Linked DNA regions of Ovis aries. The protein of the gene in region 1 interacts with the protein of each later gene in a pairwise test. Links are inferred from orthologs where the notes say so. Each region holds a gene or a part of one and is shown on either strand. Other genes may lie near its edges. The genes, in order: SNCAIP and NUB1.

Region 1 (3,810 bases):
GGCTCTGCTTATGAGCCTGAAAACCAGGGTAAGGACGTCCTACACAAGACCTTCAGTGATCCTCACAGTCGGAAAGTTGACAAGGCGATGGCACCAGACTGCCAGCTCAGGGCCTTCCATCTGCAGTCCTCGGCAACAGACCCCAAACTTGAGGAGCAGATCGGTGGCATGAACTGGACCAGCTCCCAGGGGCCCGAAGAAAGGAGCGAGCACCTGAAAAAAGTAAAAAGCGTCTTGAACATTGTTAGAGAAGGGCAGATATCTCTCCTGGTGAGTATGAACTAATTCATTACACACACTAACCATCTAGATCTCCAGCTTTATCAACTCCGTTCACCAGTAACAGAATGATAATGCTTTTGTTCCAATTTTTGTTTAATCTCTGCTCACGGCTTTAGTTGGGCAATGTGACTTTGGAGTTTTAAAATTAAAAGTTAGGTGGTTAATGTAAGGAAAAACAAATGGCTATAGAGGGAGTATTATTTCACTTGAACTGTGCATGAATTCAACTGTAATAAAGACATGTACTCTAAAGGAAAAGCAAAACCAAAAAAAGCCCAGCACTTTAAAAAATACGAATCTTAATGTCTTTCCTTTTGCTTTTCAAATGGTTCCCAATGCTCTCGCTGAGTTATTTGTGGGGATGTCAGTTCCTTGCTGATGGGGAACTGCCAGGTATATGAACAGAGGGTCTTCTGTTTTATCCTGATCATTATTCAGAAGACTTGGACCAGGACGTTTGAAAGCATTTGCAGATAGAGACTTACCCTAGAGCTTGATTGCCCTCTGACCCACACGGAGTTTTTATTTAGTTCCAGGTCTGCATGTCTAGGGAGCATAAAGAAGCTTTTCCAGAGACTCTAGACACAGAGTAACATGATGTAAGAAAAGTCTGTTCTGCTTAGGCTCAGAGAAAACTAAACTGAAATCACATTCCATCTGCCTACATTGTTCTTTCCTGGCTTCCAGACATGGATCAAACAGTAGTAAGCCTGAGCTGACACTGTGGTGTTAATTAAAGTCTCATTCAAGGAAAATCATCACATCTTGGCCATGTGATTCTACTCATGGTAAAGCTGTGCATAGATAAATGTAATGCACTTGGTCTATTACCACAAATTTTAGAGTTATAATAGGATGATATCATTGAACAATTTTACTAAGTAAAGTAATTTTTTTTTTTTTTTTTGTCTCTTGAAAATGTCTTTTCCATTTCTCCTGGCTCTTCCTCTCTGGTTCATTCCTTTCTTTTATCTTTCCCATGTTTTTATGTTTCCCAAATGATAATAACTCTCAATTTACCCAACAGTCTTTATCGATGAGTCATGCTCAGGGCAATGAACTTCACTAGAGGTGAAGAAACCAGAGTCCAGAGATGCCCAGGAGTTTGTTTAGGGGTGAAAGTGCCTTGAGGTACCCAGGGGAGTACAGACTACAGCACCCATCATGAGGCTTGCTGTCAGAACCAGCTCTCTAAAGCTCAAGGCAAAGCAGATGGTTAAGATAGGTAGTTCATTCATTCAGCAAACCTACCGCAGGGAATAAAGCAGAGTCTGGCCCTCAGAACACATAGCAGGAGTGGAGGAGACAGACAAGAAACCTGCTGGTTGCCATGGGTTGTTAGAAAGCTGGCTTGGAGCCTCTACAGACCCGTTGACTCATCTTTGTTGCCTGTCTCCCATGAAAGTAAGTCACTTGAGCATTCCTGTGCTTTCATAGCAAGGAATTCTGACTTATTACAACCCCATGACTGTCACCAGGGCTTCTGGAAGTTCATCTCTTCTTCCCAAGGCCCGGAGCAAAACCCCCACAGCTTCTCATTCTGTTTTATTGACTTAAGTTTTCCTCGTCTTACTATGTGTACAGCCACACCTAGCTGCCGACAATCTAGACAAAATTCACGACGAAAGTGGAAACAATCTCTTACACGTTGCCGCATCGCAGGGGCACGCAGAGTGCCTGCAGCACCTCACTTCTTTGATGGGAGAAGACTGCCTCAACGAGCGAAATGTGGAGAAGTTGACTCCAGCAGGCCTGGCCATCAAGGTGACTGGTAGTTGGGGGCTGGGCCCTCCACATGTTCCTGCCTTGTAAGATTTCTAGTAAACTTAAATGTTAGAGTGGAAAGAGAGAAGAGTGATGTTCCAAGCAAACAGCAAACGAACCTATTGTTTTTAAAAGGTTAACCATCTCAGTCACTAACTGCTTTGAGATTTTGAGACTATATTCCAATTTAGGGTAAGCATCAAAACAGCTAATAAAGAGAAAGGAAAATGATCTGTTGCCATTTTAAGAACTTTTGTTATTCATGGTGACTGCAGTTTGGATTCTTAACCACCTCTGGATCTATGTGAGGCTGTTTCATTTTTTTTCCTAATGTGAGTATAAATGAGCACGATGAATGGGGAATAAGTGTATGGTAAGGCATGCTAGCCCAGCACTCAGGAGGATTTCAGAGAATAAAGTGGACCTCTAATGGATTACATCTGAAGTTGAAGCGTCTGCAGTATCAGGAGTTCTTTAGAATATCGGTGCCGAGTTTGAGTTTGGCTCTCGCAGAGCACAATATGTTATCTGTCAAAAACTAGGCAAATTAATGCCGACTGGGATAGAGTTAAAACCTAGAAACAGTGATACAGGAAAATGTTGTCTTTTATAGCACTGTAGTGAGTGCCTCTGTAAAATGTAACACATCACTAGAAGGTTAGCTATTAAACTAAAATTACTTTTAAGATCTTTGGCAAATAAATGTGGAATTCAGTCACATTTATTAAGAAGCCAGAAGTGAAGTTTGGGGAAATATAATACATCTTGTGCTTCTGCATTTGTACTTTGCTTTGCTTAATAGTTATGGCTTCTAAAAGCTGAATAATCATAATTTTTACAAATAGAATTATATTGAAATATACTAGGGGAACTTGCTGGTTAAAGTCTCTTTGTGAATTCACTAAGGAACATGTTATATTTGAAAAGCAATTTCCTTCCCTTGTATACCTCTTACGCAAATCTAAATTTTTGTATCTTCAATTTATTTATCATTCAGCAAAGTTTTACATTGTTAAAAAGTTGCTTTCTATTGTGTTTAATGTTACTCAGTGATTAGGTTTTTTGCTCATATAAGAAATCCATGACCCCAGTGGATAGATATCATTTTTCCTTAGTTGTCAATGATGCTATGTCAAATAAGAGCTGAACTGCCATCAAGAAAAAAGAAAAAACAAATGTGAGTGAAAATTCAGTATAGTGAAGTTAAACAGTATTTTTGAGTCCACCAGACATTGTTTTAAGATGCTGGCAAAACGAATGTGAATGAGACATAGTCTCTTTTCTTAAGGAACTGATAGCCTGGTGGATAAGGCAGGTAAGTTACCAGTGCAGGACGGTGAATTCAGGATCTAGTCCCATGTCAGAATCCTGTGGGAAGGCAAGAATTGGGTTTGGTAATCAGTGGGACTGTCAGTCATGACTAAAATATTCTTTCAGTGCCAGTGATTGCTGACATCTACCTTGTCATTTTAGTATTTATAAAATACAGTGCTCATTAGTTTTCCTCACTAGTGGTGGGTTTTGAATATATGTTAACTACATAATTGTAGTTAAGTCTTCCCTAGTGGCTCAGACAGTAAAGAGTCTGCCTGCAGTGTGGTAGACCTGGATTCAACCCCTGGGTCAGGAAGATCCCCTGGAGAAAAAAATGGCAACCCACTCCAGTATTCTTGCCTGGAAAAATCCCATGGACAGAGGAGCCTGTGGGCTACAGTCCACAGAGTTGCAAAGAGTCAGACACGACTGAGAAACTAACACACACAC
Region 2 (4,606 bases), on another chromosome or scaffold:
GACTGATTTCCTCTAGGATGGACTGGTTTGATCTCCTTGCACACATTTCTCTCCCCTAAAATGGACTTAGGCACACATCCCACCCAAGGCTTCTTCCCCCAGGGGCAGAAGGGCACCAGGAGGAGGGGTCATGCTTCCCTCTCCTTGTGGAGTGTGTCAGAGAGTTTGCAAAGCCCCTTTCAGACAGTCTGCAGCTCCTGGAGTAATTCTAGACACAACACTTTGTTTCAGGGAATGTTTGTGCAGGGGCAAACGGGAGGGTGGGGTACTGATATTATCTTCCCAGGTGAGGTGGAGGCTGGGCAGCTTGCCTAGATCCCCAGGGCTGAAGCCAGTTGCCACGTGCAGGGCCCAGGACAGTGCTAGAGAAGGTCCCAGGATGGGCCTTGGATTTGGTTAATGTGCTGCCCAAGCGAGCTGGGGCCTTGGGTTTGGAATGGAAGAACCAACAGTCTCATCCGAGCGAGAAGTTTCTGGGCTCTGCCATGGGCTCTATCTTGCCTTCCCATTCTTCGATTCGGTCCTACCGAAGGCGGATCTAACCATCTCTGGAAGCTATGCTATGACCTGTGCTCAACCAGCGGGCTTTGAGCTCCATTAGTTCCAGACAAGCCTGTCTTATGTCCTCCCCTAGACACAGGACACAGGCGTCAGGCCAGGGGCTTAGATGACTGAGTACAGGGGTGGGCAAAGCGCTTCGGGAGCAGGCCGATTGCCAGAGGTCCTGTCAGCAATAGCATGTGGAGACAGGGTCAGCAGGGCCAGCAAAACCAGCAGAGAAGTACGAGGGCAAGGGGCCGGGAAGTTCACCAAAGCGGAGGCCTGGGCCGAGTGATGCACGGAGGGATGAAAAGCTGGACTTTTAGAGGGGTCATCATGTTAGACCCAGTCCGGGGGTGGGATGGGGGTTGGGGGGCGGGGGCGGACCCAGCTGCACTAAGTCCAGACTTTCCCGCCGTGGGGGGAGAAGGGGCTTGCTCCAAGGTGCTCTGGCCTCTTTCGAGGATTCTGAAGGAATGAAGCCAAGCTCAATTTCCTCAGAAGTCAGGTAAACTTGGCCGGGACAGCGGCCCCGCCCAACACCGCCTTGGTCCTCACGGGCGGTCCCCAGGGTTGCGGGCTGAGTCTTCCCGCCAGCCCCGCCCCCGACCCCCGGAAAGTCCCCCGGGCGGTCAACGCCCAGGCTCCTTCTCGCTCTCCTCTCTGCCCCGCCCACATCCGATCGCCCCAGGCTCTAGCCCCGCCCCTTGCCCAGCCCCGCCCACCCTTGCCCCGCCCTTCCGCCTCGCCCCCCCTCGCCCCGCCTCTCACCCCAGCTGCGCCCCATCCGTGTCCAGCTCTCCCGCCTTAGCCCCGCCCACAGCCTACCCACAACCCCGCCCGGCCCCCTCTTAGCCCCGCCCATACCCCTGCTTCTCGGCCTCGCGGGGACGGGGCGGGGCGGCCCGGCGGCGGCGGCGGCCTCGGCGGCGGGGGCGGGGCCGGCCTCACCCGGAATGAAAATAAACGGCGGCCGCAGCCGCATCCGGGCACTCGGCGGGTCGCGGCTGGCGCAGCTGTGGCGCAGGTGAGGAGATGGCGGCCGAGCGTCCGGTCCTTGACCCGGGTGTCAGCCGCGCCGCCCGGCGCCCTAGTTCCCCCCAGGCGTGACCCCGACGCCGACCCCGCCCGGGCAGCGGCGGAGGTGGGCGCCCTGCGCGGAGACTCGGCCGGGACCGGGGGCGGCGGGTCGGGGCTTCTGGACGCACCGGGCCCTTCGCCCGGCCCTGGGTTTGCTCTGGGCTGACGCGGGTGGTGGGTATTTAAAACGAGAGATTGAAATGTTTTTGGAGGGAGGCAGAGAAACATATGTATATGTTAAAATTACTCACTGGCCATACAAAAAGCTTGAATCGTAACATTGTTACGCCATTTGGGATTTATTTGCAATCAAAGACAGATTTTCTTTTCCTGTTTAATGAGAAAACGCGGTTTATTTTCTCCAGCCCTGACGATCAGATTCTGTATGTTTCTCAACGTCTTCCCACACTCTCATTTTTTAATAGAAGATTCTTGTAATAGTGTAAGAGGGAAAAGTACTGTATTTTGAATAAGTATATGTGTGTTTGTATATGTTTGAAAACCTCTGGATAAAGGCAGCGTAGATCGATTTATTTAAAAAATGAAAGCGAAATGTTACAGGAATGATTTATACCCTTTCACTTTCGGTTTACAGCATGGGTATTAATGAATTTCTGCTTTTTGACGGGGACTGTGACACGGAACATTGTGTAGCAAGCCTGAAACTTTCAGTTTTCCAATTAACGTTGAAAACTGACTTATTAAACCGTTTCCCTTTTGATTTGAGTTAAAATACATATCCTCGTTTTTTTTGTTGTTGTTGTTGCCCATGAGTGGTTTTGTAAGTTTTAAGACAATGGTTTAATCTTTTTTTCAAACATTAAGTGGTGGACTGGAGACCCTCCTTGCTGTGTATTTGCTGGTGGGCGGAGTGTGGACGAGGAGAAGGCAATGGCACCCCACTCCAGTACTCTTGCCTGGAAAATCCCATGGATGGAGAAGCCTGGTAGGCTGCAGTCCATGGGGTCACTAGGAGTCAGACACGACTGAACAACATAACTTTCACTTTTCACTTTCCTGCATTGGAGAAGGAAATGGCAACCCACTCCAGTATTCTCGCCTGGAGAATCCTAGGGACGGGGGAGCCTGGTGGGCTGCGGTCTATGGAGTCGCACAGAGTCGGACACGACTGAAGCGACTTAGCAGCAGCAGCAGCAGCAGCAGGAGTGTGGGCCACACACTAGGTTTAGGAAATCCTTTGAGACTTCCGCTTGGTAGTTACTTGGATTACAGAGGGCTGTGCATTCAGCCTTCTAAAATGGCTTGGCTTCCCTGAATGGCCCTTGAAATGGTTACCACCCCCTCACAAGTGATACTTAATTGGGAATTTCTGAACATTTGTGAGCGGGGCTTCCCCTGTGGCTCTGTGGTAAAGAATCCGCCTCCCGGTGCAGGAGACGCAGGAGATGTGGGTTTGATCCCTGGGTCAGAAACATCCCTTGGAGGAGGAAATGGCAACCCATTCCAGAATTCCTGCCTGGAAAATTACATGGACAGAGGGGCCTGGCAGACTACAGTCCAATTTTATGTGTGAGAAGCAGTTTATTAGTGCTTGAAAAACTGGGGTTCTTTCTTAGGTTACCTGGATGCATACATCCCCCTCTTTGATCTGTTTTCCCCTTTTTCCCTTCTCCCCCCTATCCTGATTACCCTCTTTCTTGCCCCCAAATTGATATAAAGTGGATTTGAACTTTCTTTTTAAAGTACTTGCTTACAGAATACACTAAAGTTGTCAAACTTGATTTAGAAATCAGGTGAATTGAATTTGAGGAGTGTGGAATACAGGCCCTGAATAGGAAAAAGTTGCTCATCTAGGTTATGTTAAGTCTTACCTACTTTTTCACTCTCTGGAACATGTCTCCATCCTTCAGGGGCTACTAACCTTTGATTTTGGTCACTGCTCATCTGACTTGGGTGCACTGCCCCATCAGCTGTTTCACTCTCTGGCAGCCTCACCCACCTTTGAGATGCTAGTGCTAGTGAAGGAGGCGTGAAAGACTCCACTGCTGTGTGAGCGCAGGACAGAGAAGCAGCAGGGACTTCGCAGAGGCGGTAGAACGCAGTGATCCAGTGTTGCGGGCACAAGTCCCAGGACTAGTTATGGCGCTGCCTAATCTTTCATCCTTGAGTGAGTCCTTTTACAGACTTGGGCTGTGGCTTTTCGTGTGTAAGATGATGACCCGGCCAGTATTGATTTGAATAGGATGAGTAGATCTGCTTTTATGCTTCTATCAGAAAATATCATGCAAAACTTCTCTAGCACTGTAAACACTAAAGTTTTAGCTTAATTCTCTTATTTTTAAAAATATTTGTTTATTTTGGTGGGCCCAGGCCTTAGTTGTGGCATCCAGAGACTTTGTGTGGCATGTGGGCTCTGGTTCCCTGACCAGGGATGGAACCCAGCCCCCCTGCATTGGAAGCACAGAGTCATAACTCTGGACCACCAGAAAAATCCCTAAATTTTCAATTTTAAAATTTCAGATATAGAAAATGTATATTATTGATAGTTCATGGTTCAAGCTAGCTCTTCTTTATATTTACCTGCCAGGGTGATTGCTCTTTTGTGTTAAAATAGCCAACATACAGAGCCACTGTATTTTGGTAAATTCTTTACCACAGAGCCACTGTGTTGAGTTGTTTAAGTTTGCTGCTTTAAGGATCTATCTTTCTTATTTTATCTTTCCTCTTAGAGAGTGATAGCAGTTAAGAAATAGAACAGGCTTCCCTGGTGGCTCAGTGGTAAAGGATCCGCCTGCCAATGCAGGAGATGTGGGTTCAATCCCTGGGTCAAGAAGATTCCCCTGGAGAAGGCAATGGCAGCCCACCCCAGTGTTCTTGCCTGGGAAATCCCATGGACAGAGGAGCCTGGTGGGCTACAGTCCATGGGGTCGCAAAGGATTTGGAGATGACTTAGCTATCTAAAGGGCTTCCCTTGTAGCTCACTCGGTAAAGAATCTGCATGCGGTGCAGGAGACCTGTGTTCGAT

Evidence for each region.
Region 2: the proteins of SNCAIP (region 1) and NUB1 interact in a two-hybrid assay, tested with the Homo sapiens proteins (2 studies listed by BioGRID). The link is inferred for Ovis aries from reciprocal best matches to the Homo sapiens genes SNCAIP and NUB1.

Annotation. Positions count from the first base shown.
Region 1 is NC_056058.1:29,123,944-29,127,753, reverse strand, and holds part of SNCAIP (synphilin-1), read left to right. Parts: coding exon 1-270; intron 271-1,866; coding exon 1,867-2,046; intron 2,047-3,810. UniProt on the Homo sapiens protein: Isoform 2 inhibits the ubiquitin ligase activity of SIAH1 and inhibits proteasomal degradation of target proteins. Isoform 2 inhibits autoubiquitination and proteasomal degradation of SIAH1, and thereby increases cellular levels of SIAH.
Region 2 is NC_056057.1:115,513,139-115,517,744, forward strand, and holds the start of NUB1 (NEDD8 ultimate buster 1), read left to right. Parts: upstream 1-1,531; 5' UTR 1,532-1,684; exon of another isoform or gene 1,685-3,748; intron 3,749-4,606. UniProt on the Homo sapiens protein: Specific down-regulator of the NEDD8 conjugation system. Recruits NEDD8, UBD, and their conjugates to the proteasome for degradation. Isoform 1 promotes the degradation of NEDD8 more efficiently than isoform 2.